4 linked regions of the Pelodiscus sinensis genome follow. The protein of the gene in region 4 interacts with the protein of the main gene of each other region in a pairwise test. Links are inferred from orthologs where the notes say so. Each region holds a gene or a part of one and is shown on either strand. Other genes may lie near its edges.

Region 1 (7,671 bases), on a different chromosome or scaffold from region 4:
AATCTGCACAGGAAGTGGGGTGGGTGGAGCGGCCCTGTGGAAGTTGCCCTTCCTGCTGAGCTGGGACCCACTGTATGACTAACTCACCAGAGGAATGAGGATGCTGTGCCATACCACATCTGCCCTTCTTGCCCTCATCCTCACCCTGTCCTGCCTTCCCCTCCTCCTTCACCACAGTGTTCCTTCCCTCGCCACTTTTCTTTCCAGTTACCAAACTTCCTTCTACCGAAACCCCCCAAAAAGGGATGGCTGGAGAAATTACAGCACAAACAAGACATTGGCCACTGCCATACTGGTCACGCGGTGTGTGTATTCCCCTCCAGGTGTCTGCCTTGTCTATTAGACTGTACAGTTCAGGGACTCTCTGCTATCCTGCACAGTGCCTGTATTTGCCACTCTCTCACTCCCCACGCCTACAAGGGTTCACAATAGGGTTGCCAACCCCCTCCAGATGGTCCACGAGTCTCCTGGAATCAGCCTCAATCTCCCAGTTACTATTGAAAGCAACCTGGGATATTTCAATGGGCCAAAAGTCCAGCTGGCAGTGCAGTGGGCTAAGGCAGGCTCCCTGCTTCCCCTGGCTCCTCACAGCTCCTGGAAACAGCCAGCATGTCCCTGCAGCAAGTAGGTGCAGGGGCAGTCAGGGAGTCTCCGTGTGCTGACCTTGCCTCAAGCACTGACTCCACAGCTCCCATTAGAAACCATGGCCAATGGGAGCCCTGGAGCCAGTACCCACATGCAGAGCTGCCTGGCTGCCCCCAACTTAGGACCTGGAGGGACAGGATGGCACTTTCAGGCACCACTCAGCATGAGCCTGCCCAGAGCCTGCGTCCCACACCTCCTCCTGCACCTTCCCCTAGCCCTGAGTCCCCTCCCACACCCAAAGTCCAACCGAGAGCCTGTACCTCAAACTCCCGTCCTGCACCCAAACTCCCGAAGGAAACCAAATCCTGCACCTCCTCTGGCACCCCAACCACCTGCCCCAGACTCATCCTGGAGTCCCCTTCCACATTCTGAGCCCTTCAGCTCCAGCCCCCAGCCAGCCTCTCCTCCCACTCCCAATCCAGGGAAAGTGAGTGAGGGTGGGGGATAACGCGCAATGGAGGGAGGGGGCTGGAGTAGTGATGGAGACTGGAGAAAGGGTGGGGTAGGGGCAGAGCAAGCAAGGGCGCCATTTCGGGAGGCATAGTGGGGCAGCAGCCGTGCGCACCGGGACGCAGCTTCCTTTTCTTCCCGTTCCCCTGACTATCAGGGAGCAAAGAGAAAGTACTTGCATTCCAGGATTTAATCCCCTGCCCCCTCCCTTCACCAGCCAGGAGTGAGAGGCATGCACAGAGGCCACGTCCTTTCCCCTCACTCCCTGACAGGGGGACGGGGGCTGCTGCCCTCCTGGCCTCCCAAAATGGTGCCCTGGAGAGCAAGAGCGCTTGGGTTTGTGCGATTAGGCAGTTGACAACCTGGGTGCAGAATGCTGTGGGGTTGGGTCCTGGGAACCCTGACTCTGATTGATTAAGGAGCTGTGTGGACATGCTGGAAAACCAGGGAGGACCTCATACAAATGTCTGACAAACTGGCAAGATTCTGAGCACCTACTGCTACAGGGGTTGCAGATCTCTGCCTGTCACAGGAAGTTCTTGACGTCATGCATGAACAGGCCTGAGATTAAAAATTGGTGGCAGCAAATGTAAATACACTCTTCGGGCTCAATGATCGGCTCAGCTGAGAACTGAGGGCCTCAGCATTTCAGAGGATCATTAGTTATTATAATAACGATGCATTCTGGATCAGGCTCCACATTACAATCTAGTGGCCCAACTGCAGCTCGTGAGCCCAGTGTGATTCTTTTACAATTATAGTGCAGCTCAGGATACCCACCACTCCTTCCTATTTGGCTTCTGCCCCGCAGTGGGGTGCAGGATTTCTGCCCAATGGAGGGGGGCTCAGAGCTCCAGCCCCTTGGAAGGCCCCTGTCAGGATTTGGTGCCCTGTGACCCCACCACCCTGCCACATCTGTGAAGATTATTGTACGTGGCTTGGTGGGCCAGTAAGTTTGAGTACCCCGGCTCCAGCAAAAAGCTCAAAAATTTGATACAGTAAGTTTCAGTGCTAAACAACTCCCCTCCCACCTCTGGATGTCTGTACACGTCCCAGACAACTGCCTGCACTAACATCATGGGGGCACGTGAATGCATTTGGAATCTTTTTTCTATTTCAGTTCCTTAATTGTGTTGTGGGAGGTGGAGAGTGTTTGCTGCTCTGCAGACCATGTTTTCTATGTTTCCTTTACTACCAGGCCACTTTCTCTGGCACTGCATCCAGGCATGCATTGTATACTTGTACCTGATGAACACCACTTGGAATAAAACAAATACTAGAAGAGCGATCTGGAATTTTTAAATCATACTGGCCTTACTTTTCACTCTTCCAGAAAAATGGCATCTGTTGGTTCTCTGTTACGGAGACAATATCATAAATGTAGATCTCAAAGACCAGAACTATTCATTTTTCTGCAATCTCTAGGACTAGTTAATGAAAGTTTTTAGCGAGGTCAAAAATTGCTAGAATACTACAAGCTGTAGTGCAGCAGTTCCTTAATGGCTGAAAATAGCAGATAAGATGGTTCTGGTAGAAAAATAACCAATTGTATTAATAGTTCAAATTACCTAGCTTTTCCTCTACTTCCCCTTCACAGTCTGGTTCCCCAAATTTCCCCTGAACTATTGCTTATGTTTTTACTGCTCCTAATTATACTTTACCATAATATACATGAAACACTTACTTTTGCAGATGAAGACACCAAGAAGTTTGAATTGATTTATTTCCTGCTGGAACAAGCCAAAAGCAGTATTCCAAATAAGCTCAAAATTAGTGCCAAACAAAAGGCTTTTGAGTCTGAAAAAATAAACCTTGCACGTGCGAGGATTTAATTAATCCACCTAAGTTTATCCTGCTGCTGTTTGTTAGAACACCACCGTGAGACAAGATGGTAGGAAACAAAGAGGAAGACTAGCTCTTTGCACTCAGTTTAGAACAGTCCCTTACTTCCTCCTTTTGCACTGTGGGTTTTTTTTTTCAAGAGAATTTTTGCTTGTTAGCAACAGAAAGAGAGGCTGTTTGGCTAATGTGCATATAATCAATGTGCATGTGAACATTTTATATAAAAGTACTGATACCATGTTGCTTTTAATTCTTCAAAAGTGTCACTCGAGGGGGTCAATTCGAAGCAAGGTCATGGGAAAAGAGCATGAAACCTATCAGATGATGAAGTTTTGGGCAGCTTTGTGTTGAAATTGCTGCCTTCCATTCAAAGCAGCTTGAAGATTATCAAGACGAAAGTTACACACAGTTCTTAAGTTACTTTTGAAAAACGAAACCACAATTCTGTTCAGACCCTGATGGCAGCAAGTATAGTCTCTACTAGGCTACGTCTAGACTGGCATGATTTTCCGGAAATGCTTTTAACGGAAAAGTTTTCCGTTAAAAGCATTTTCAGAAAAGCGCGTATAGATTGGCACGGACGCTTTTCCACAAAAGCACTTTTTGCAGAAAAGCGTCTGTGGCCAATCTAGTCGCGCTTTTGTGCAAAAAAGCCCCGATCGCCATTTTCGCGATTGGGGCTTTTTTGCGGAAAACAAATCTCAGCTGCCTACAATGGCTCTTTTGCGCAGAAGTTTTGCGCAAAAGGGACTTTTGCCCGAACGGGAGCAGCATAGTATTTCCGTAAAAAGCACTGATTTCTTACAGTAGGAAGTCAGTGCTTTTGCGGAAATTTCAAGCAGCCAGTGTAGACAGCTGGCAAGTTTTCCGGAAAAGCAGCTGATTTTCCAGAAAAACTGGCCAGTCTAGACACAGCCCTAGTGTCTACAATAATGGCAGTAAATGTAAATTAAAATATACAGTAAAATGTACATAAAACACTGTCTCTGTTTCTCACGTCTCCCCTTCCCCTGCCTCAAATATCCAGAAATCAAAAGCATTAGGCAGTTGTTGCTCTTCTGTGCTGCATGGCACCTGCTATTCTACATTCCTGGGCAATGCATTACGTCTATTTCCCCAGCTTAGTAGAAAAGTTACATGCAACACTCATTTTCTTCAGGCTCTTCTTCCAAGTGGTGATTGTAATTTTTTAAAACTTGCATGGAGATGGAAAACAAACCTGGAGCCCTCTGCAAATCCACACAATGGGATAAGAAGCCACTGTCACAAATGAAGTCAATCTGTTGTAATGGTATTCAGATTCCCCTATGTTTTGCTTTGCATCCTAGACAATAAGTGGCAATTCTGGAATATTATATGGAATATTATAACCAAGTCAAAATGGAACAGAGATATTCAGTCAATGAACTCATAGGTATTGACAGCTCAGCATGGAATGCTTGATTTTGGACCACAGGGGTAAACTTCCATTGTCCCCTCACAGATTCACCCCATGTGCAGGGAGAAAAATAAAATCATACACGCAAAACAAGGATATGCTATCTTCCTATTAATCCATGAGCAAGGCCCATGTCACAGGCACTAGCTTGGGTAAAGGTATAAAAAAAATCAAGTAAAAGAGACAAAGCAGTGAGCAAAAGAAGAGAGACACACAAGGCCATCTGGAGATGCTGTTGGCACCTTCAGAAAAACCCTCTTTGACATCAGTGGTGGTGAGGAGGTTTGACGGAAGGAAATCTGTCCCAAATCAGAAGGTTTTAAATTGCCAACATGGATTGGGACTTGATTTTTCACAGGTATTTAGATATGTAAAAGATGTAGCTAGGTGCCTGGCAGCGTTCCCTGTAATTTTTCCCACTCCTGAGCAGAATGTTCTTATGTGCATCAGTGCGGAGGTGCTGTGCAACACGAAAGTGCTGTGACATCATCTTCATTTGGTGCACATAAAAAAATTCACATGGTGGGAGTGGGGTCAAGGGGCTCTGAGTGTGGGAAGGGGCTCAGAGCTGGGGCAGAAGGTTGGGGTGCAGAAGTGTGAAGGCTCCACCTAGAGATGCAGGTTCCAGAGTGAGGCTGAGCTGAGGGGCTCAGGGCTGGGAAAGAGGGTTGGGGTGCAAGGGCTCTGGCTGGGGGTGTAGGCTCTGGGATGGCACTAGGGATGAGGGGTTTGAGGTACAGGAGGGAGATCCAGGTTTGGGGAAGGGCTATGAGCTGGGTGTTGGAGTGCAGGAGAGGGTACAGGCTCTGGGCTGGGAGTGTGGGCTTTGGGGTAGGGCCAGGGATGAGGGCTTTGGGGAGCAGGAGGGTACTCAGGGCTGGAAGGGGCACTAGGTGGGGCAAGGGTTTGGATCTTGAGCTTACCTGGGTGCTCCGCTAGCCACTTCAGCTCTAAGCTGAGGCAGAGGGCACCCCTCATCAGCATCAGGACTTAGAGAGAGGGGTCTCTCCCTGCTCCAACACTGATACCCTGAGCAGGGCTTAATGTGAAGCTGTGCAGCCCCACAGTTTAGAGGAAACTTAGGTGCCTGGTAGGATTTTCAAGTGTGAGAGCAGCTCTGGGGATTAGTTGGGGTGTAGGCCTTTAGAAAGGCTCGCTGTCCAGCTATTTGTGTCATTAGACATCTACAGTAAATGCTTTTGACAGCCTGGCTCGTGAGGGGCCACTGAAAGTAAACAAAAGCCAGGCTCTTATGCGCTTGTGAAAATGGAACTCAGGTTCTTTTAAAAAACATGGTCGGTGTCTAAAGAAAAATCTCTTTTACATTTAGGTATTTTACTGATAGGGAAAATTGTGGTTATGCTGCAGAACAGAACGCTGCATCTCTCTCGTAAGTAGGATACAGAGACACCCACAAGTTAGCTGATTAAATATTTTCTTTATGAAGTCAGAAAGGGCAAAATTGTTCTTTAGGGTAGAATATTTAGATTTTCTCCTAGTCTAACATTTAGAAATATTATAATGGTCTTACGGGTGGGGAAAGCCTGTGAGTTCGTATCCATCCACTTACCAATGCACGATGAGTCCCAGAAATAAATTCAAGTGGCTAGTCCAATTTAGTTTTAAGTCTCATAAACAATAAGACTCTCCCCCACTTCCATTGGGAGATTATTCCACGGCCCAAGGGGGCTCACTCTTATAGCCCTATGCAATATTTAGTTAAATTTTTCTTTTCTTAAAATGTCACATTTTTACTCCAAGTTACAGCCTCAACCATGTCTCTGTTCCTCGCCATCACAGAATGGTACATGATTGCCATTCTGCTCCCACAGATAGTCTCCCACTGGCTATTGAACGTAATCATGGAGGTTTTAATAGCATATTTGACATTACATCGTGTTGGGGGGGAAAAATTTCCTAAAACAGCTTTCTTAAATTCCTAAAAATTCCAAAAACAGCTTCAGAATTGCCATCTCTCTTTATCATTCAGCCAAACTAACTGGGATTTTGTGCCTACAACCTGCCTCTCATTAACTTACACATTTGCAGGTGCTAGTCTACAATTCTCCTCCAATGTGCCCCAATTTAAGCACAACAATCCAGGGATGGGCAATAATTTTTGATGGGGGGGGTACTCAAAAATTTTGCGAAGTGGTCAAGGGCTGCACTCTTCCATGATATTAATGGAGGAAGTTTGGGGTCTGGGATGGAGGTTGGGTGCAGAAGGGAGCTTGGGGGAGGGGACTAGGGTGCAGGAGGGAGAGTGGGGTCTGGGAGGGAGTTTGAGTGAAAGAGGGGATTGTGATCTGGGGCACCCAACTGGCCAACTACCCATTGGATGATTGAAAGTAACTTTCATTCAAAGAAGTGGCTGACAGGACAAATAAGGGGCTGCAGCTTTCTGGCCACTGAGAGCTCTTGCGTATATGGATGCAGGAGCAGGGCAGAGGACTGGGGATGGGAAGAGCTGGGGTGCCAGAGGTAGGCTCTGTCCAGGAGACTTACCTGAGTGACCCTGGACCAGCAGCCCAGCACGTTTCTCAGGCAGGCAGGGAGCCTACCCTGCCCCCACGCAGGCTGCAGGGCTATGTGCCTGTGTGAATAACTATGAGACGGAGGGGAGGGGGACATGGTGCTTTGTGTACTGTCTGTCATTAAAACAGGCAGCTCCAATTGGCTGGTTTCTGGCCAGAAATCAGCCAATGGGATTGTGCTGGGGGCAGCAGCAGTGCCTGAAGCCTTCTCCCCTCCCCCAGGGTTCTCAGTTTTTAAAGAGAAATGGCCTCGCAGCTGCTTTTCTGAACAGCATGTGGGTGGGACACATCAAGCAGGGAGCCTGCCTAGGGCTCACTGCAGCATCCACAGGCCGGATCTGGGGGCTTGGCAGGCTGGATCCAGCCTACAGGCTGTATTTTGCCCAGGTTTGCATGGTCTCTAAACAAGGGGGCTGGAACAAGCTGTATAGTGGAGGTGTCGAGATCCATTGACCCAAACTGTAAACCCTCTGTGTGATGGAAACCACTTCAAGCTGGGGAGTGCTACTTAGCTCCAATACCTATAAATCTAACAAGTGAGTGATGCTAGGCCCATCCTACACATCCTGGACCAGTTAATATGGATCAGAAGGGGCCCATTAACCTTAGATAAACTTTGGGTCCACTCCAGGAATAGTGATAGGGCCTAATGATAGAGGAAGCAGAGCTTGTGGTAAAGGAGGGAAGTTGGGATAACATTGTAAAGCCAGGAAGTGAGGCCAGGCAAGGAGTGTAGGCAGCAGATCTGCAGTTACTGTCTAG
Region 2 (7,633 bases), on a different chromosome or scaffold from region 4:
ACACAACATACAGGTCCATGGTATGTCTCCTAGCAGAGTAAATCATGAAGGTTTGGATGACTCTGTTTAGATGCAGTGAGGGAAGAGGAAGGATACAAAGTCCCTAGAAAACAGTGGTGAGTATTTCTCCCCTAACAGTCTACAGAAACACTGCTGATAAATGGCTACATGCTCTCTGCGGATGGGCAATGGTCTATGAGCCAGTCACTGGCAGCACAGCATAGGAACATATCATGCTACTACTGAGACTGCTGCTAAAATGCTTCTTTTAGGGGACATAGGTGGAGCAAAATGCACCAGAACCCGTTGTGTAGTTCTGCCTACCTCAGGAGCAGGTTGTGTTGGCTTTTAGCTGTTCTGCTCTGCTATGTGTCTACAGCAGGGGCCCAGAAGGTGTAAAGTCTGCTTCTATGGCTTTTGATATGTAAAAAGAAAGAGACATTCATGGACATTATACCCACAGTTATTGGTAAGGGTAGTGCCACTGGTTACACTGTGGGGATGTTTTAGCTACAAATCCAGATTAGATAAAACTAGCACTAAAACAGTTCACATAAAAACCAAGTGTACCCCTTTATGCCAATTTCATTGCTGTGCATCTGGTTAGGTGGTTGATACCTCTGGATATAATTTCCTTTTGTGTAGAATAATAGGCAAACTTATTGTTAATAGTTATCTTTGAACAACTCTACAGATTATAGAAGTATTCCTTTCATGCTTTAGATCTGCCACCTGTGTAGTTTATAGTAAATGTAATTTACCTGTTTTATCAGAAGCGAGCTAACATCTTTGGGCCAAGTTCTGCATCAGTTTATACCTTTGCAAATGCATTACAGCCATTTGCATAAATGGAAATAGATTTAGCTCAACATGTTGTAAATATAGAACAGCTGCAGACACAGGGGAGAAAAATTCTCTTATGTCATTAGAATCAAAGATCAAATCTTTGGACCACACTACAAACTGGGAGGACACGTTCTCTCCATTGAAATCCAGGTAGCAGGTCAAATCCTATTCACTGTAAGTGTTGTTACTCAAATGCCCCAGGTGCATGGGAGGTTTCCCAGGATTTATACTGAACTTGCTACGAAAGTGTAATGGGGAAGGATGGGGGGGAGGGGGGAAGCTACCTCAGACAAGAGAAACAAAGTTCTTTTCCTTTTCACCTTCCTTTGTGTAAAACACAACGCCCAATATTCCAACTCAGCCATCTCAAAGATTGTGTTCAGAGTACTGGCTTCTAATTTAGGGTTCCAACTTAACTGTGCCATTCCCTGCAACACCCCTTATGCCCCAATCTGGAAGTGCTTTCAGTTCTATTATTATCATACTCCAGAAGCCGCTCCCTCATTGCCACCAAAATGCTGCACTGCTTAGCTAATGTTACATAACTGTTCTGGCTAAGAGAAATGCCTAACTTACCCTTCCAAGGCTGAATCCTGTTCTCGTTACACACGTACTCCCATTGGACGTAAGATATCACGCACATAAAACAAGCCTATGTGACCCCTAGTATTTCCAGGCTGCACAACTGAATTGAATTAAAAATCCAAAGAAGGGAGAGAGCAAGCAGTGATCGGTTAGCAATACAAAGCTCCAAGTCATCAACAGGAGTCTTACTTTTAAAAGTACCATAAAAGCAAGCCTGTACAAGATATGGAACAGTTTTAAGCAAGGCAAGCAGCTGGTATATAAATAATACAGTGGCCTGCAGGTGTTTCTGTGAGATTCTGGTATAACAAGAGACACAAAAGTTTGTCACATACACAGCAGTTTCCATCAATTGTTAATTTCTTTTGTTCTCTGTTAATTTCACAGGCAGTTATAGGCAATATCATTTAATTTCATTCATTCTTTTTTAAAATACTGACACTTTAGTACATTACATCCTTCTAAAGTTGTAATAGAATCTTTCTGCTTTAATTTCTGCTGTGTAAGTTCAAAAGCTTGCCTGTCTCACCAACAGAAGTTGGTCCAACAAAATACATCATCACATACTCCTTGTCAGTCTTATTCTTGTGATCCCACCACAAATATTTCCTTAGAAACAATTGAGAAGCAATCTGGTTATGTGAGACACCTTCTTTCTAAAAGTATTCCCCTGTGCCAGCCTAGAAAGCAATGTGCTACTTATGCCTGGCTAATAAAGCTTGCTTTATATATCTACAGTCCTCTTACCTCAGAAAATGAAGCTGATGAGAAGGGAAAAGTCTTGTATTTCTACAGAAGCAGAACACACATGTCTTGACTGTATAGTGCTCCCAGCTCCAAGACAGCTATTAAATATAGTAGGCAACTAGTTCTTAGTTTAAGGAGGTGGGGTTGAAGTCTGGGTGGGAGGGACTAGAAAAATCACTCACTAAGCATGAGTCAGCAACACTACTTCACTTACCCTAGTTATGAATGAACCATGCAGAGTCACTTAGTGTTTGTAAGATAACATCATGAAGGAAATAAACATTGTGAAAAACAGCCTTAAAGGAACCAGACCTCTGTTGCTCCCACATGACAAGAATCCAACACTAAACAGATTTTAATTCTTTTTATTTTTTAGCCTAAGAGTCTTTTGTATAAATTAATCTGCATTGTATTGGGTTGACGTTTGAAGTTTATATTTATTTAAAACACTCAGCTGCCACAGCAACAATTATTGGTATTAAGGGTGGCAGGGTAGTACAGCATGCTTTCATTAAAACTGAAGAATCTTTTAGGACTATGTAGGGTCAGCAATACTGCAATTCCAGCTGATCACACAGGAGGAACGTCCTCCCCTTTTGGTTGATATTTTGAATTTCAACCATACTTCATTGAAAGAAGCTGGCTAGTACATATTAAATAAACACCACTGCCCCCTACCGAAATACTGAGAGACCCCGGGTCCAACTTCAGGCACACTGATGTGGGAATTGTCTTACCTACTGAAGATGCAGGCTCTCAAGACCTCCATTTACAATGCATAGATGTGCATTGTAACAGTCTAGTGGAGCGATTCAGTGGGACCTGGAAAAAAATGTTAAGAAAATTCATGGGCACAGGCTCAGCACTAGGACCAACTGTGGCTATCACTGCTGTTTGCCATAAATAAATCCCCCAAGCTCCCACAAGGTTTGCACACTTTCAGCTATTGTAGGGGAGACAGCCTGTGGGGATTGTGGATCCCCTTTGAGAAGACCATGAGGAACAGGAACTGCAAATCATGAGCTCAGTCTCATACGTATCCCAGCTACAGGAATGGATGCTTCTCAAAAGAGAACCCGGTAAAAGCCCAACAAGTCCAGGAATACACCTCCCATGGATGGGGGTAGAGGTGGGGAGGGAATTTGAACCTGGTGAAAGGAATAGTGTTACTACTGACATCTACATCAAAACTACTGGCCCAGTGGCAAAGAGGGTCTGGCCAGTTGCCTGAGATCTGTCAACCTGGAAAGCAAAAGAAGATGCAAAAGTATCACATCAACTTCCTGAAGACTCAGTGGGGCCTAGTAATAACACTATACCTAGCAGAGCCAGAGTTGGGGCATCAAGCCAGGAGACTGCAAGCCAGCTCTTGTTGTGACTTTGGAGGTGATTAAAAACACGAATGAAAGCGATCCTGATGGCATTCTGAATATCTAAGCAGCCAGTCACAGGGCCCTGAGTTGAAACCTGACAGAGCAAGGAGGGGCTGGGGTCCCCTACCACCAGCCATAAACTTTCCAGACTGAGAGATACTGCTGGGGTCAGACACTGAATCTTTAACTTTAATGTGCTTGACACTTCTTGCCATAAAATACAGTACTGTTAAGTCCTATTGAAAATGACTGACTTAAGAGGATGGAAGACAATTTTCAGAAACCCCAACTGCAGCATGTGCCACCAAGTTCAGATATGAATCTAGGCTCTACTCTGAGTTTCTCCATAGTTCAATACTTCTTAAAATTTAGAGTTTGTGTTTATTTCTACATAACTCCAAAGAGAGATTATCACTCTTTGTGGCCACATTCAATATTTCTATTTTACTTATCCAGTAATGAGGGGTTTGCTAGTTCCTCATGTAGAGGGTTTATTTATTTTAAACAGTCTATTTAAGAAGCTTTTTCCATTTCCAGGACTGCCACTCTCACCTCTTCTCCCTATATTGTAATCTTACTGACTTGTTCTGGCCCAGGAAGTCAATTACATCATTGCTAAGGAATGTCTCCTTCACACAGTGTTCATGAGGTATGGATAGATGTTAGTACTTTCTCTCCAGACTATAAATGACTTGAAGCAAAATGCAGGACAATGTAGCACTTTAAAGACTAACAAGATGGTTTATTAGATGATGAGCTTTCGTGGGCCAGACCCACTTCCTCACGAAAGCTCATCATCTAATAAACCATCTTGTTAGTCTTTAAAGTGCTACATTGTCCTGCATTTTGCTTCAACTACCCCAGACTAACACGGCTACATTTCTATCACTATAAATGACTTAACATTACTATATCACACAGTTTACTTGCCTCCACAGTAGGACCATTGAAAATAGCTTATCTTGGCTTGCTTTTGTTATTGTTTTCTTAATATAAACACCCCACTGACTCCACTCCAGGTTTGTTCTGATCTGTTTCTCTTTTTGTGAGTCTCCTGCATGTGGGAAATGGGAGGGTGGAATTTAACTCAGATTTCTTTCTGAGTCTAATGCAGTCTGTCACAATCTGCTAGCATGTTCCAGAAGAGGAAGCAAGTAGCCTGTGACCCACAAGTAGAGTTATGACCACCAGTTCATTTTTAGTCATTTGATTAATATGGCCCAGAGGAAAACTTTACAGACGTTCTTGTATAGAACATCAGTGTGACTTCCGTATCTCTAGAAAACAGCATTTTAAGGTTGTTTCTCTAAATCAGAAACTTCAGTTCACTTTGTTTTGAGAATTGGCACCAACTCTTACTCCAACGTTGCACATTTAAGTCTTATTTTGCTCAGCTCCAAACTCTCTCCAGTACAAAGCTTAATCTTTTGCAAACAATTAGTGGATAGGCAGTTTGCACAAGCAAGCGTTCACTGCCTCCCTTTACACTGCTGCAAGGCATATGGCATGCAATGAGTAGCATAGAAAGAATCAGATTGCCTCTGTCTAGCATGGCAAGCGGAAAAGATTTCTGAAACCAAAAGAGAAGGTCCAGTAATTAAGAGGTGGTGAACGGCAAAGACTTCTTTTTTCCCCTTAAACTTTCAAAATTTTACTATTAGAAATAAAGAAATTCAATATTTAAAACAAATTAACAGTAAAATTTAGACCCAGACAGACAACAGAATGTAAGATTTAATTCCATCCTCAGTTAATCCAGAATAACTCCTGAACAGCACCTGATCTAACAGAAACCCACCTGAATCCAACACTAATGTCTCAGTGACATTAAAGAGCAAACTGTTTGTGAAATAAGGGCTTGTGATCTTGAGGATCACATTTTGGCACATTAAGGGTTAACTCTGGTCTTACTGGCATCCATATTGGCATAAAGTTAAGTGCAGCCAGAAAGTTCCACACGAACACGCCTTCCATGCTGCGTCAGTGACTAAACAAAACTTCTCCATAGTGCACAAGGAAGTGTTGTCATGGGACTAATACCACTTGGCAAGGCTGTGGTTTGATGGAAGAGGGACAGAGTTTGCTCTGGATTTTGTTCCTTTAGCCCCAGTGTGTTTCACATTTTCTTTCTTTGGTCACTTAAGGCAGTTTATTCCTGGGAACTGGTTCAGATATGTAATTATATACTTTCTCAGGGTACAAGCCCACACACAGACAACCCATGGATGTCCCAGTCTGCTACAATACCCATGAGCTATTTACTGTTGCTACAGGTTTCAATGGCGTCAACAGAGACTATCTAGTTCAAATTATCCACCATTATATGTATGCCTTGTGCTTGAAGACAGAGAGAGCTAGACTTCGCACTGCCGGGTTCTGATCTTAAATGGCAAAATATCATCTTCATTGTCAGAAATCTCTCTGTTCTTTACATTCAGGCCATGCACGACAGGGGAAGAGTAATCTTTACTTTCATGTGCATCTTTATAGACTCCACCAATGCCTCTGGCATAGGTGAACCTTCACTCAATTCCAAACTCTCTTGGCATGCTGCTGTTTCACAAGTTAGCACTTCATGTTCCTGCCATATATATAATTACTGGGACATGCCCAGAGTGATCTATTCCATAGGCAAGGACAGTACTTTTACTGTTCAATGTTTCATCTAATTCCAGTAAAAATAAATATAAAAAGACTTCATGTTTTATTAGGCAAAGAAAATTTCCTTATTGGTGCTGCCATGGTTCTCACCAACTCCTGGGAAGCAGTCAGCTGAGACTGCTGTTCCAGCTGAAGCGCTGAAAGACCAAGCAAAATGCAGGACAATGTAGCGCTTTAAAGACTAACAAGATGGTTTATTAGATGATGAGCTTTCGTGGGCCAGACCCACTTCCTCAGATCAAATAGTGGAAGAAAGTAGTCACAACCATATATACCAAAGGATACAATTAAAAAAATGAACAAATATGAAAAGGACAAATCACATTGCAGAACAGAAGGGGGATGCGGGGGGGGGGGGGGGAGGAAGGAAGGTAAGTGTCTGTGAATTGATGATATTAGAGGTAGGGAGAGTGGGATGTTTGTGAGTTAATGGTATTAGAGGTGATAATTGGGGAAACTGTCTTGGTAATGGGTGAGATAGTTCAAATGTTTGTTAAGTCCTTGTTGGCAAGTGTCGAATTTTAACATGAATGACAGTTCAGAGGATTCCCTTTCAAGTGCAGATGTAAAAGGTCTTTGTAGCAGAATGCAGGTGGTCAAGTCATTGAGAGAGTGACCTTTCTGGTTTAAATGGCAAGAAACTGTTTTCTCTTTGTGATCTTGTCTGATATCTGTTTTGTGGGCATTAATCCTTTGGCGAAGTGTCTGAGATGTTTGTCCAATGTACATAGCAGACGGACACTTTCGGCACATGATAGCATAGATTATATTTCTGGATGCGCAGGAATATGTGTTCTTGATCTTATAACTCACTTGGTTAGGTCCAATAATGGTATCAGCAGAATGAATATGTGGACAAAGCTGGCAACGGGGTTTGTTGCAAGGGAAGGTACCAGGGTTGGTATTAGTGTGGTATGTCCTGTGGTGGTTGGTAAGAATCATCTTGAGGTTAGGTGGTTGTCTATAGGAGACTATGGGCCTGTCTCCCAGAGCCTCTTTGAGTATGGTATCCTGAAGCATCTTGGTTCTATACCTGCTCTATGCTGTACATAATGCTAAGATTTGGTCTGGTTTTCACAAAGGCATCCCTCCCCTCTGTACTTAAGGTTGGCTAATTTATTCTTATGAGTATGGGCTTTCACAACATAAAAAGCAAAGGTTTTCATTCCTTTATTGATGGATAGTGTGCAGCCTGGCATTGATGACTTTGGAAACCCTCAATGAACCTCACTCTGATTTGCAGAACCAGATACAGTCCAGAGACATCTCCTGCCTGCATCACAAGTAAGGCTCCCCTACCTGTACCAAGGATAAAATGGGCAATAGCAGGACAAGCTCCTCTGCAATTGCCCTGCCTGTTGTGCTTACCCCTGGCCTGGTTATTTCATCACTCCAGCTGAGAGAGTGTTTGAATGGCCTTC
Region 3 (6,928 bases), on a different chromosome or scaffold from region 4:
GAGTCTGGCAGAGCCGGGGAAGCAGCCCCCCTCCCCCGCGGCGCCGAACCCCACGGTGCCTCAGTTTCCCTACCCGTCAATGGGGATTCCGGCCTTGTCCTGGGGGAGACGGGCCGGTAATCCGAACATGACCCCTGCTCTATGTTCGCCTGAAATCTCACGCCAAGGGAGGTGTCTGGGGAACGCTGATGAGTCACTGTTGATGCTACTCACACGCAGGTGTCATGGTTGTACGGGAAGTGAGGAAGCAGAGCAGCAGCCAGCGAGTGGGGAGGGCTGGTCCGGCTGCCGGGCCCACCCAGCAAGAGGCAGTGGAGCTGGGGGGCGCCAGCCGCACTGAACGGACCTTCCTGCAGACCCTCCGTCTGGGGGGCAGCGCCGCGGTGGCCTAGGGAGGCCCGAGCCCTGGGCAGGGGCCGGCCACGGACACGCTCCACCCTGGGACCCACAGTGACAGCCCCATGGCCGGGGGATCCGGGGGCCTGGCAGCCCCGCCACAGGCCCTCAATCCAGCTCCGCACCGCCGGGTCCCTGCCAGGAAGCGGAGCCGGAAGGACGAGGGATGAGACGCCCCCATTGCAGGGGTCCTGGTGCCGGTGGGTGGCCAGGACCCGTGAGCCGTGGCAGCCGGAAAGGACGAGGGCCCATCGTGCCACGCTCCAGAGACGTGACCTAGGCCGGCAGATCGTCCATCTCGGCCGCCCGCCGGCACCAAGACCCCTGCAATTGGGGGGGGGGGGGAGTTCCGATTCCTGTCACCAATTCTAAAGCCCCCTTTTCTCATTAATAAGCCTTGAGATCGTAGATGCTAAAGGACGGGACCAGAGAGCTCTTGGGGTGAGATCTGAGGCATAAATCGCCCTGGGATTGGGAGAACCTGTTGGGAGGTAGGGGGGTGGGTCGTCACCTCCTCCCTGTGTAAGGGGGGCTGGGGGGGCACAGGGATCACTGGGGTGTGCGAGGGGAGGTGGGGGTTGGGTTAGAACCTCTCCCCTGTGTAAGATGGGGCTGGGGGGCACAGGGAGCACTGGGGTGTCTGAGGGGAGGTGGGGGATGGGTTATCACCTCTCCCCTGTGTAAGGAGGGGTTGGGGGGGCACAGGGAGCACTGGGGTGTCTGAGGGGAGGTGGGGGGATGGGTTAGAACCTCTCCCCTATGTGAGGTGGGGCTGGGGGGGGCACAGGGAGCACTGGGGTGTCTGAGGGGAGGTGGGGGATGGGTTAGAACCTCTCCCCTGTGTAAGGAGCGGGGCTGGGTGGGCACAGGAGAACTGGAGCGTCGCAGGCCATTGCCTGTGCGGTTTCTGGTTAACCAGTGTGGTGAGTAGCAGTGGTTTGGTGCCTTAGAGCGGGGGAAGCCAGTGCTGGGCTGTAAGTAACTCTGTCCATGAACACTTTGCCCTGAACTGAGCCTCTCAGTGATTCCCTGGTTACACCCTGCCTGGGAAAGCTGGACAAGGCAGCTTGGCGCGGGCGAGGCTCTGGCACGGCAGGGCGGGGCCGAGCCGGTCCAAAAGCTCAGCACTGGCTGGAGAGCTGCGCCGCAAGACCCGACACCCCCCACGCGGGCGTTTGCCGAAAACAAGCTGAAAGGAAGCCACGTGATTGCATCACCTCTGACCAGAACCTGTCCGGGCAGTGGGCGGGGCCCCAGACGGAGAAATGAGGCTCGGGCGAGGGGTGGGGTGAACCTCCTCTCCTAGGGCTCAGCCGCTCACCATGGGGATCTTGAGGGCGTTGATGTAGAAGGAATGAATCTCCCAGTAGCAGCAGATGTTGTAGATAAATTTGATGAGTCGATGGACCCAGAACACGCTGGCTATGACCAGGATGGAGATGAGGAAGCCGTTCTGCTGGATTCTGCGAGGGAGAAGAGACGACACCTGCAGCTCGGCAAGCCCACCGCGCAGCCGTATCCCGCGGGAGCCCGAGCGGAACTCAGTGCACACACCCACCTCTGGGGTGGATACACCAGCCACGTAACCATGCACAGAATGCCGCCAGCACGCACAACTCACAGGAACACATGACCCAGAACACAAGGCAGCCCGGCCACGCAGGTCAAGCCAAACCAGGGACTTGCAGCCTCTGAGAGCAAGGGCTGTGGACTACACGGGGGAGAGAATCCACCACTCCATCGACCTCTTTCCGGGAGAGGCCTGGGATCTCTGGCTCCGAACCTGGCCTGGAAGGGTGACAGGCTGCCAGGGCTGGAGGCGGAGGCGTGGCTGCTGCCCTTACCTTGCGCTGCAGACGCTGGGAGGCAGGAAGGCGTCTGGCAGCGTCACCTTGACGGGCTCGCTGGAGTGCTGGCTGTGATTCACCATCTTGTTGGCAAACAGGATGTCGTAGTCGACGCAGCTGACAAGGAAGGTGGTGAAGGCCACCACGAAAATGAACTGCCTGTGGGCGAGGCAGCGGCCGTGAGGGGAACGCTCCTCCTGCCCCCAACACACCAATAGGCCCCAGGTCCCAATGCCCCTGGCATGACATCAGCAGATTTGGGGAGCAGGGGACCAATTCCTGGGGATGGAGGTGGCCACCAAAGCGGGAGAGGGAGACAGGCCCTGACTGAAAGGGGAGGGCCCTGATCCCAACTCTGGGTGAGTGGAAATGCTGGGGCTCAAAGAAACCAGCCCTTCACCCCAACTGCAGCAAGAGCCCAGAGGAAGCCTGCCCCCGCCCAGCCCCCGAGACGTACATGAGCTCAAAGATCTCGCCAATCAGCATGCAGGTGAAGCCGTTCTTCTGATGCAGGTTATAGACGTGGGCAGCGCAGTCAAGGAGAACAGCCAGGAGACGGGCCCAGACCCCCTCCCATCCCGATCCTCTCACTGGCCACCAGTCAGGTCGGATGGCTGCAGGGCGAGGCAGGCCTGGCCTCCGTGCCCAGCCCAGGCTGAAGGCCAGGTTAGCCTGCCCCAGGAACCCAAAGTCCCGCCCCCCCCGGGGACACCCCATAGCCAGTAGGGTAGGACCTCGGCAGCACGGAGCTAGGAAAAGACGGATCCCGAGCCCAACGTCGTACTGACATAGGAGGTCCGGGCGGCCCATCAACGGTGGAGAAAGTCACTTCTGCCCCATCCCCCCGCCCCCCACAGCTCCTCTCCGCCCTTCTCCTCAGGAAGGGGAACCTCGGCTGCTTGGCTCGTCTGGAGGCCTCCGGGCCGGGAGCAATGCAGCCGCCAAGGAGATGGGACTTGCGCCAGCTGTTCCCACGCTGACCTGCCTAGACAGACTGCGGGCCAAGCTGATGCTGCTCTGACCACCCCCCGTGCAGCAAGGATATGCGAGAGAAGAAGAGGTCCAGGTTCTCTATGTGATGCCAGGGAGCTGCAGGACAGAGAGAAGGGAAAGGGGGTGATGGCCCATCACGCTGCAGCCTGCCCCCGGGAGGGAGGGGTGGGCGCTCACTGCGGGCTAGTTGTTCTTGTGACACAACGGAGGGCAGCGAGGGGGCCGGGTCTACGCAATCCCCCCAGGCTGGCGGCCGTGGGCCGGAGCGGATCCCTGCCCGCCAAGGAACTGAGCGATTCCTGCCCCTCGCACATGCCTGCCCCCACCCAGCCCCACCAGCCCCCGCTCACATTTACTGCCCTCGGGGACGTGCACCAGCAGGTCCTCCTCCCCCGGCGGCGAGTCGCTGTAGGAGGCCTCCAGCCGCTGGTACTCGGTGTCGAAGTGCGCCATGTCACCAGCCGGGGGGGCGTGGAGCGCCGGGGCCTGGGCGAGAGACCGAGTCAGTGGGGGGGGGGACTGAGCGGGAGGGGGATACTTGGTGGGACAGACAGGGGGGAGAGAGCGAGTCGGGGGGGGACAGGCCGAGGGGGGAGAGAGCGAGTCGGGGGGGGACAGGCCGAGGGGGGAGAGAGCGAGTCGGGGGGGGACAGGCCGAGGGGGGAGAGAGCGAGTCGGGGGGGGACAGGCCGAGGGGGGAGAGAGCGAGTCGGGAGGGGGGAACAGGCCGGGGGGGGGAGAGCGATTTGGGAGGGGGGAACAGGCCGGGGGGGGGAGAGAGCGAGTCGGGGGGGACAGGCCGGGGGGGGAGAGAGCGAGTCGGGGGGTGGGGACAGGACGGGGGGGAGAGAGCGAGTCGGGGGGTGGGGACAGGCCGGGGGGGGAGAGGGCGAGTCGGGGGGGGACAGGCCGGGGGGGGAGAGGGCGAGTTGGGGGGGGACAGGCCGAGGGGGGGGGGAGAGCAAGTCGGGGGGGGACAGGCCATGGGGGGGAGAGCGAGTCGGGGGGGGACAGGCCGGGGGGGGAGAGAGCGGGTCGGGGGGCGGACAGGCCGGGGGGGGGAGAGCGAGTCGGGAGGGGGACAGGCCGGGGGGGGGAAGAGCGAGTCGGGGGGGGACAGGCCACGGGGGGGAGAGCGAGTCGGGGGGGGACAGGCCGGGGGGGAGAGAGCGAGTCGGGGGGGGACAGGCCACGGGGGGGAGAGCGAGTCGGGGGGGGACAGGCCGGGGGGGGAGAGCGAGTCCGGGGGGGACAGGCCACGGGGGGGGAGAGCGAGTCGGGGGGGGACAGGCCGGGGGGGGGGAGAGCGAGTCGGGGGGGGACAGGCCGGGGGGGGGAGAGCGAGTCGGGGGGGACAGGCCAGGGGGGGGAGAGCGAGTCGGGGGGGGACAGGCGGGGGGGGAGAGCGAGGCGGGGGGGAGAGCGAGTCGGGGGGGGGGACAGGCCGGGGGGGGAGAGCGAGTCGGGGGGGACAGGCCGGGGGGGGAGAGCGAGTCGGGGGGGGGGACCGGCCGGGGGGGGGAGAGCGAGTCGGGGGGGGACCGGCCGGGGGGGGGAGAGCGAGTCGGGGGGGGACAGGCCGGGGGGGGAGAGCGAGTCGGGGGGGGACAGGCCGGGGGGGGGAGAGCGAGTCGGGGGGGGAGAGCGAGTCGGGGGGGACAGGCCGGGGGGGGGGAGAGCGAGTCGGGGGGGGGGACAGGCCGGGGGGGGGAGAGCGAGTCGGGGGGGGACAGGCCGGGGGGGGGGAGAGCGAGTCGGGGGGGACAGGCCGGGGGGGGGGAGAGCGAGTCAGGGGGGGGACAGGCCGGGGGGGGGGAGAGCGAGTCAGGGGGGGGACAGGCCGGGGGGGGAGAGCGAGTCCGGGGGGGGACAGGCCACGGGGGGGGAGAGCGAGTCGGGGGGGGACAGGCCACGGGGGGGGGAGAGCGAGTCGGGGGGGGACAGGCCACGGGGGGGGGAGAGCGAGTCGGGGGGGGACAGGCCACGGGGGGGGAGAGCGAGTCGGGGGGGGACAGGCCACGGGGGGGGGAGAGCGAGTCGGGGGGGACAGGCCGGGGGGGGGAGAGCGAGTCGGGGGGGACAGGCCGGGAGGGGGGAGAGCGAGTCGGGGGGGGGAGAGCGAGTCGGGGGGGGGACAGCGAGTCGGGGGGGGAGAGCGAGTCGGGGGGGACAGGCCGGGGGGGGGGGGAGAGCGAGTCGGGGGGGGGAGAGCGAGTCGGGGGGGGACAGGCCGGGGGGGGAGAGCGAGTCGGGGGGGGGGACCGGCCGGGGGGGGGAGAGAGCGAGTCGGGGGGGACCGGCCGGGGGGGGGAGAGCGAGTCGGGGGGGGGACCGGCCGGGGGGGGAGAGTGAGTCGGGGGGCGGACCGGCTGGGGGGGGGGAGAGCGAGTCGGGGGGGGACAGGCCACGGGGGGGAGAGCGAGTCGGGGGGGGACAGGCCGGGGGGGGAGAGCGAGTCCGGGGGGGACAGGCCACGGGGGGGGGAGCGAGTCCGGGGGGGACAGGCCACGGGGGGGGGAGAGCGAGTCGGGGGGGGGGACAGGCCGGGGGGGTAGAGCGAGTCGGGGGGGGACAGGCCGGGGGGGGGAGAGCGAGTCGGGGGGGACAGGCGGGGGGGGAGAGCGAGTCGGGGGGGACAGGCCGGGGGGGGAGAGCGAGTCGGGGGGGGACAGGCGGGGGGGGAGAGCGAGGCGGGGGGGAGAGCGAGTCGGGGGGGGACAGGCCGGGGGGGGAGAGCGAGTCGGGGGGGACAGGCCGGGGGGGGAGAGCGAGTCGGGGGGGGGACCGGCCGGGGGGGGGGAGAGCGAGTCGGGGGGGGACCGGCCGGGGGGGGGAGAGCGAGTCGGGGGGGGACAGGCCACGGGGGGGAGAGCGAGTCGGGGGGGGACAGGCCGGGGGGGGAGAGCGAGTCCGGGGGGGACAGGCCACGGGGGGGGGGAGCGAGTCGGGGGGGGACAGGCCGGGGGGGGAGAGCGAGTCCGGGGGGGACAGGCCACGGGGGGGGGAGAGCGAGTCGGGGGGGGACAGGCCGGGGGGGTAGAGCGAGTCGGGGGGGACAGGCCGGGGGGGGGAGAGCGAGTCGGGGGGGACAGGCGGGGGGGGAGAGCGAGTCGGGGGGGACAGGCCGGGGGGGGAGAGCGAGGCGGGGGGGGACAGGCGGGGGGGGGAGAGCGAGGCGGGGGGGGACAGGCGGGGGGGGAGAGCGAGGCGGGGGGGAGAGCGAGTCGGGGGGGGACAGGCCGGGGGGGGAGAGCGAGTCGGGGGGGGACAGGCCGGGGGGGGGAGAGCAAGTCGGGGGGGACAGGCCGGGGGGGGAGAGCGAGTCGGGGGGGGACCGGCCGGGGGGGGGGAGAGCGAGTCGGGGGGGGACCGGCCGGGGGGGGGAGAGCGAGTCGGGGGGGGACCGGCCGGGGGGGGAGAGCGAGTCGGGGGGGGACCGGCCGGGGGGGGAGAGCGAGTCGGGGGGGGGGAGAGCGTGTCGGGGGGGACAGGCCGGGGGGGGGAGAGCGAGTCGGGGGGGGACAGGCCGGGGGGGGGAGAGCGAGTCGGGGGGGGACAGGCCGGGGGGGGGAGAGCGAGTCGGGGGGGGGACAGGCCGGGGGGGGAGAGCGAGTCGGGGGGGGACAGGCCGGGGGGGGGAGAGCGAGTCGGGGGGGGACAGGCCGGGGGGGGGAGAGCGAGTCGGGGGGGGG
Region 4 (7,587 bases):
CTTTTCTTGCCAGCAATCACTCTAATTCATGCAACCAGTTCTAAAACTAAAAATTATTAAATCCTTATGAAACATGCCTGAGGACAAACTTTTCAAAGGATGTGGAATGCAAGGACTTTGCTGAGACCAAGAGAAACTAAATTAGAACTTTGATTCCTATGGCTACCAAATCTGTGATCACTTTCAATGGTACTGCCTCTCCCTTTCATACTAATTTATTTTGGCCATCACCTCTTCTAATTTGAATTGGGATCAGTTAAGCACTAAGCTGACATTAGCCAACTGATGTTTGCCCCAATCTGAGACATATACTGTAAATTTAGTCTCTTTATTTGAACAAGGATTCATTTTTCTTTTATATTTCAATGAGCCATTTTGAACATTATCAGAATCTTTTAATGTTTTAATTAATTCAGATGTTATGTTTGTTCATTAACTTATTCCTTATGGCTACCTAAGAGCTACTTGGACAAGGATTTAATATTGCTTCTAAAAATTGTGATTGTCGCCTTTTTAGCAAAACATCTGAAAATCTTGGCTTATTATTCTTAATGAATAACAAAAATAGGCCAAGATTCTCAGATGCAACTAGTGACTTAGGAAGGGAGGCACTCCATTTTTAGGTGCTCAACTTGAGACAATGTATAGGCACTGTACACCTACCCTTAGAAAGTCATATCCCTTTAAGATGTCTGAAGTTGGGTACCTACATATTTAAGCAGCCAAAAATCACTAGTAATTTTCATAACCTGTTCATGTGCAATATATATTGAGCCTCAAAAATCACTGCATGCATGAATTAGTTAAGACACACCTCTTAAACAACTGGGGCTTTTCATGTTATATTAACTCTTGCAATTAGGACATTTCTGGGTGATTGAAATGCAACTCTCTCTTACCCTCAAGACTGCCACAACCCACAAGGATCAGAGGCACCAACTGTCCAATATGGTGACCATTTATTTTTATTTAAAAGTTTTGCTACCTTCTTTCCAAGGGATAAAATGACACCTTTAAGGCCCTTTAGGAATACCCATGCTCACAGTAGAAATAAATCTCATTCCCAGTTATGACAGCTGAGAAGGAGCCTGGGTTCCTTGGATGCCCTGATAGGAAAAGGAAGACTCTCCAAAGCTCCCTCCCACTGGCAGGCATTTACTCTCCTCCTTCCCACCCCTCCTCAAAAAAACCCTGCTTTATTACAGGGAAGGTAAGGCAGGATAAGAATCAGTGCCTTCCTCCCAGATGTTAAGCAGCAAAGGAGGGAACAAACTAGCACCCAGGGAGAGCTTCGTACAAACAAAGCAGTCAGATGTTTGTGAAAAGGGGGTTAGTGCTCATCCACCTGTACCATGGATGTGAGTATGGAAGGGATCTAGCAAGCCTATTGCAGATGTCAGAGCAGTGGATGGAGCTCATGTCTACCTAAGGAGTAGGTTCTCAGAAGAGGTTCTAAAATGGGCTCACCCCCCTCTCATGCCACCACCGCTGGGTTTTTTTTTGTTAAAGGACATTCATATTGATCAAATAACCAGCTTTTCCTCTCCCACCTTCAACCAAATGACAGCTGAGGGAAAGTGAATGTGACTGTCCCTTATATAATGTTTGTTATATTCTCCTATATACACTAACTGCAAACAAAACAGAACATTGGGGTTGCATTTTCAAATGTGAATATTCACAATTAGACAACTAAACACCTATTTTAGGCATCTTAATAGGGATTTGGGGACCTAACTCAGATATTTAACTGTTTGAATACAGATTTAGATGCCTTACTTTTTAATATCCAAGTCTGAAAATTTGGTCCAAACTGTGTCAAGAAAATTACTTGAGTATTCATAAACGTATTGTTTAATTTTGTTCTTCTACCACAGAAAATTTCACATGGTGTAAATTTTGTGATAAGCTCAGGCACAGGCATATTTGTGTGTATATTTTACACTTGTTTCATATTCTTCTCTTTGATTGATTTATCATAGAAAGTAGTAGCGGAAGGAGGAATTTTAAATGTTGGGGACATGACTATAGTGAAGTGAACAGAACTACTGACATTTACACCCATGGTGAATTTGGTCTTATAAAATTCTGCCGGCATTCTTACAAAAAGCCACACTTGAAACTCATGTCATGTGAACAGACTTCCTCATCGACTAGCTCTCACACGGCTACTTCCCTTCATCAACAACAACAACAAAAATTAATTCTTTCCTTCACCACCTCTTCCTGTGTGTCACACTCAAGTCATATTCTCATCAAGGCCTTGGTGGAGCTGTTTTTGTTTAGGTCGGTGCGCACACAGTAGACCCTGAATACACAGCCATGTCAGATTCAGAAACTTGCCATTGGGCGAGGTCAGATAATGTCAATCGAGCCTCTCTTGGCAGCAGATGTCTTCACGGCAGGAATAGAAGGCAAGTGTCTTCTGCCAAGCCCAGAGCTCTGCCCAAGCTGGGTGAGGAGGGCACGCCAGCCCAACTCACTGCCGGTTGTACGGAAGTTAGGCACCTCGTCACACGCTTGCACTGTTCGCAGCCCCCCAGGTGACCTCTCCTCACCCGCTAAGCCCTTCGGGGCTTCAGAGGCTTTTGCACGCGTACAGGAGATCGACGCTACAGCCTGCAGTGCAAGCCCAAGCTCCGTATCACTGCATGTCCCCACACTGCACGGGGCAGCCCTTCCACCGGCCGCCCCGCCGGGGCTCGGGCTGCAGAGGAGCTGGCCCCACGCAGCGAGCGCAAGGCGCCCTATGGAGAGCGCCCTGCAGCCACTTACCAGCCATGGTGCCCGCTCAGCCCGGGACTCTCCGCGGCGGCGGTTCCGCGCTCTCCTGATGCTCCGGCTCAGCTGGTCCCGGCCCTACCTCGGCCGCTCCTCCCTACGGCTGGGAATTTCCCGCTAGGGTGACGGCTTGGTGACGTCGGACTCAAAAAGGCCGGTCTCCCCCCCACGCTTGCTGCGGCTGCCCTGTGCTGTACGCTTGAGGGGAAGGGAGGGGAGGGATGATCTCAGCGGGGATACACCTACCTACAGTAGCAGCAAGCTGTCCCCTCCCCCCTCCGTGCTACAGAGCTACATGCAGTGCCCACACGCCGCGGTGTAGCGATCTGCTGGCTGCTCCCCGCCCCCAACCTGCTTCCTCCAGCTGCACCTCCTCGCATGCCAGGCTGACCCTCGCTTGGCTGCTAGAGTGTAACATACGCCTCGCATGCCAGCACTAGCTGGGGCGCTGTCCTCTGTTGCCACTGGCAAGACAGGTTCAGGCGGTTCCTGATTCACTGTCAGCTTGTGGGGTAGTGTGAAAGTGCCCTCTCTGCTGGGCATGCACAGATTTTCCTCTTCTGCTTCTATCTCACACAAATACACACAGCCCCTCTTCACACCGTACAGGTACCCCATATATAATTATAATTCACACACACGGGGTAGCCACATTGATACCAAGAGACGTGCTTTTGAAATATCTAAAAGTGCGAACCTCAGACGGGACAACTTACAACTTAAAATACAACGAATAGTCTTACAGCACCTTAGAGACTAACAAAACATGTAGATGGTATCATGAGCACAACCCACATCTTCAGATGAAACACAGTAAGTCAATTCAACAGTAATCTATGGGCATGACAAAATTCACAATGTTGCCTATGTGTAAAACAAGCACAAGATGTCCAGGCAATCGTCCCACTTGGGTGCAATGCATTACACTCTCTCACACTGCTGCAGTATCAGTATCAAGCAGCTCCATAATCATGGTTGCAATTGAATGACCAATTGAGCTCCTTATTTCCCAGACTATAATAACCAACATTAGTAGATTAAATATGATATTTTTAGCAAATTTGACAATTGATTCCTCAATTGTGACATACTAAAAACAAAGCTGCTCTCCGAGTTACGAATAAGTTACGGATCAACACTTGGTCCGTAACTCAAAGTGTTCATAACTTGGATCCCAGAGAGTTACATGGTGACCGCACTGTTCGTAAGCGCAGATCGCCGTTCGTAACTCGGATCCGTATTTATGACTGCTTTGGTTGTAAGTGCGGATGGTCGTAAGTGGAGGTGGTCGTAACTCCGGGAGTGGCTGTAATTCAAGATTTTAACATTTTTTTCATGCCTGCCCCAGTTTAAGCAGTTAACCAGTTAACCATAATATTTTTCCAGTTAACAGATTAAATGGGATTTTACATCCCTAACTCAGTCCTACTACTTTAATTAGTTGAATTGGAACAGTTTACAGACATCCCTTGAACTTTGCAGAAATCTAGATTCAGGTGCCATACTGGCTCCAACCTCCATGATTTGCAGAGAGGTCAATGTTGAGCGAGTCTAAAAGAGTAAAAGAATCCCTGCTCACAGATTTTTTATTTTTTTTTGGTGACGTGAGGATTACTTTGCACTGAGCTAGCAACAAGTTTTTAGCATTTAAATCTTTTAATTGAGAATGTTTCAATCATACATAATGGCAAGTAATAAACAACAAATCTAAAGTAACATTCTTGAACAAGACACATTAAAAATTAGTACAGTAACGATGGCTTGAAAATGTACTGAAGAATAGCACTGAACTGATATTTTCTGTCATGTTTCTTCCTATCTCAGCCTTTTTTATTTTAAACTAGGCATATTAGGATAATACATTAAACACCAAAACAGGAAATCATATTTTTTAAATATTTAAATTCAAACATACCAATTTATGACCTGAAGTAAGAAGGATTGGACAAATTGTAGCATAATATTATTTTCATCATTTTGTAGGCCAATGCAACCCAATGGAAGTAAATGAGAATCTGCCTACATCAGGTATGAATTTGGTTCCATGTTTCTAGACATGCTCTCCCTATCACTTTGTACACTGGGCTAAAAAAGCACTTTTCCTCCCTAAATATCCGTAGTTGACTTTTCCTGTACTAGCAGGTATGTAAAATTAGAGACTTTTTTTCCCTTTACAAAACAAAATTAAAATTTGCAGGCTTCTGTCTCAATAATATTATCTAAATTCCTAGCATCAGTACTTTAGCTGGTTTAAATCAACAGAGCTCCTCTGCTTCTAGAGAACTGTGCCTTTTACACCTGCCAAGGATCAGGACAAGTATGTTATGTATTGCACATCTATTCAATTGTTAGCATGGTAGGCTTTATTACATATGTACTGGGTGTAGTACAAATTAATTTATTAAACTGTATACATAAAAACTAAATAAAGAAATCCTTTGGATTAGGCTGTAAGATTATCCAAATCTCTATTCTTTTGCTCCTGATTAAAGGTTTGAAAGGGATGAATGGCTAGATCATTGAAATTCAGTGGTCCACAGATGTAACAAACATTGTTTGTATATTTATTGCTTGGAACAGGAATACATATTGATTTTTTCCCCCAAAAAATCAAAACTTCAGATGTATTGTACTTGTACAGCACCTTTCACACATATTGCATCCTAAAGCTCTACAGGGTTAGGAGTGGACTTTATAAGATGCTGATTGAATTAAGCACCTAAATGCCTTTGAGGATTTGGACCTTAGATACTAACAGGTGTCAAACAAATACCCCAAGAAAGGTATATTTACATGGGAGCCATAGTTTAGATTTTCTAACACAAGTCTGATTTTACAGAGAGAAAAAGAGAGAGATTTGGAAGTGATTTGGATAAGGGGTTCCAGAACTATGATAGCTTGGAAAGAGTGGATTGATTAATTTAAAAAAATATTCTAATTTTGTTGCCACTTTGTAAGTAAACAAAAACATCCATAAAGCAAGAGAGAGGAAAAAATAAAATTCAGTCTTTTAATAGCTGAAATTCTGTGTCCAACATCAAATTTTAGGTGATTAAATTCTAATGTCAAAAGTGAATTTACTTTTGCATTGCTAACATTGCTATGGAATATCTGCTCTAAACTGGTGAACTTAATTCAGCTGAAAATATGTTCTGACATGCAAAAGGTCCTGCCTATTATATAACTGGTTTTGACAGGGTAATAAAAAGGAAAGGGGAAGGCTACAGCCTCGCTCCTCCCAGTTGTTGATCCTGGAAAGACCCTGAGTGGAGTCAATTTATGCTGGGTTTTAGTTTTGGTAGTAAAACAAGGCATGAAGAAAGAGATATGAAGTAAAGTGTAACTTCCCCAGCTGCTAAGCGTGCAATCCAGTTTACAAGATGTCACGGAATTAAGAGAGACTTATGGTTTCAATACAAAAGAAAAGAAGAAGAAGCCTCTCTCTCTTTCCCTGAACAGACAGATCTTAAGAGGAAACCTGACCACTAGAGAGGCTCCTCAATGGAAAGGGAACAAAAAAAGGATTATTTCCAACCAACAGTTCACAGAATGGGGATTGCTGGTGAACCTGTCATGACTAGTGAGAGTCTGTGAATCCTGAACCATGTGTAAGAATGTTTCAGACTCAGAAGCTAGTTTTGGTATGGCGGAGGAGCTAGAGCTGCAGGGAACTTAGGATCCTAATTAGAGAGGTTCTTCCCTCCCCCTCTCATCCTGCTATTGCTGATCCCCAAGCCTCTTCCTAGACATATTTTTCCTCTCCCCCTTCCTATGTGCTATAAGAAGAGACCATTATCCAGTTCTTCAGAGGTCTCCCCCTCCTGTCCAGAAACTGGAGTTAGGACACTTAGTAGTCAACATGGCATGGGTTATTCCCTTTTCCCCTATGCCTCCTAACTTCTGCAGGACTGGATCTCTTAGGGCTTGCAGGAGCTGGTCCATGGGCCCATTTTTCAAACTATTCCTAGCAGGCACATATCAGTGTCTGGAGAGCATTCTGCAACCCAAGAACATTATATTTTTAAAAAATGACAGTACCTAGAAAATTCAGGGTTAAGGTTGTGCTCCTCAAAACAATGCTTCTAACGACCTTAACTCTGCCCCCATAGAAAGAACTGTCTACCTTGACATCACATAAGAAAACTTAATACTGTATAGAAACATTTTGTTGCTGACTTGCATCTATTGTAGTTTTAATTTTATTTATCTGAGAGCTTATTCATGTTTGAAGCTTAACAGAGACTGGGCTGAGCTACTCACTCTCACTTAGAGAAAGTTCTCTAGACACAGCAATGTGAGAGAGCTCTCACAGCAATGGTGTATAGTACGGCTACCACAGCACAGCTACATTGATAGAAATTCTGCTGTAGCATTGTAGAATAAATGCTTCCTATAGTGACTGAAGGATTTTTTCCATCACTATAGATGCTTCATTTCCCCAAGCAATGTCAGCTGGTTACCAGAAGCATTCTTTCATTGACTTATCTGAGTCTGCAATGGGGGTTGGGTCATCATAGCTATGGTACTCAGGCATATACATTTTTCACACATCTAAGCATTGCAGCTATATTAACCAAACTTTTAAGCATAGACCAGGTCTTAAAGTAGGTGTACACATAACTGAGTATAAATGAGAATCAGTCCCCAATAGTCCAAAAATTATTTTACAATGGCCAATTAATAAATAAATCTTTCAATTTCCACTGTTCTCACCAAACCTCATTTTAATTATTTTAAACATTTAGCAAAATCAAATACATCATTTCATCTCATCACACACTAATTTACTCTTGCTCACTCCTCCCC

The links.
Region 1: the proteins of REL (region 4) and PARVG interact in binary tests that used the Homo sapiens proteins (3 or more experiments, as listed by UniProt). The two-hybrid records come from large-scale screens. The link is inferred for Pelodiscus sinensis from reciprocal best matches to the Homo sapiens genes REL and PARVG.
Region 2: the proteins of REL (region 4) and OSGIN1 interact in binary tests that used the Homo sapiens proteins (3 or more experiments, as listed by UniProt). The two-hybrid records come from large-scale screens. The link is inferred for Pelodiscus sinensis from reciprocal best matches to the Homo sapiens genes REL and OSGIN1.
Region 3: the proteins of REL (region 4) and ATG9A interact in binary tests that used the Homo sapiens proteins (3 or more experiments, as listed by UniProt). The two-hybrid records come from large-scale screens. The link is inferred for Pelodiscus sinensis from reciprocal best matches to the Homo sapiens genes REL and ATG9A.

What each region holds. Positions count from the first base shown.
Region 1 is NC_134711.1:121,883,416-121,891,086, reverse strand, and holds the start of PARVG (gamma-parvin), read right to left. Parts: upstream 3,014-7,671; 5' UTR 2,780-3,013; intron 1-2,779. UniProt on the Homo sapiens protein: Plays a role with ILK in promoting the cell adhesion and spreading of leukocytes.
Region 2 is NC_134722.1:38,364,409-38,372,041, forward strand, and holds the start of OSGIN1 (oxidative stress-induced growth inhibitor 1), read right to left. Parts: upstream 3,001-7,633; 5' UTR 2,916-3,000; intron 2,334-2,915; exon of another isoform or gene 2,179-2,333; intron 415-2,178; exon of another isoform or gene 325-414; intron 1-324. UniProt on the Homo sapiens protein: Monooxygenase catalytic activity. Involved in regulation of cytokinesis; promotes RHOA activity, probably acting locally at the midbody in late cytokinesis.
Region 3 is NC_134717.1:16,890-23,817, reverse strand, and holds the start of ATG9A (autophagy-related protein 9A), read right to left. Parts: upstream 3,003-6,928; 5' UTR 2,961-3,002; coding exon 2,701-2,960; intron 2,403-2,700; coding exon 2,241-2,402; intron 1,860-2,240; coding exon 1,718-1,859; intron 1-1,717. UniProt on the Homo sapiens protein: Phospholipid scramblase involved in autophagy by mediating autophagosomal membrane expansion. Cycles between the preautophagosomal structure/phagophore assembly site (PAS) and the cytoplasmic vesicle pool and supplies membrane for the growing autophagosome.
Region 4 is NC_134713.1:180,083,576-180,091,162, reverse strand, and holds the start of REL (proto-oncogene c-Rel), read right to left. Parts: upstream 3,018-7,587; 5' UTR 2,783-3,017; coding exon 2,776-2,782; intron 1-2,775. UniProt on the Homo sapiens protein: Proto-oncogene that may play a role in differentiation and lymphopoiesis.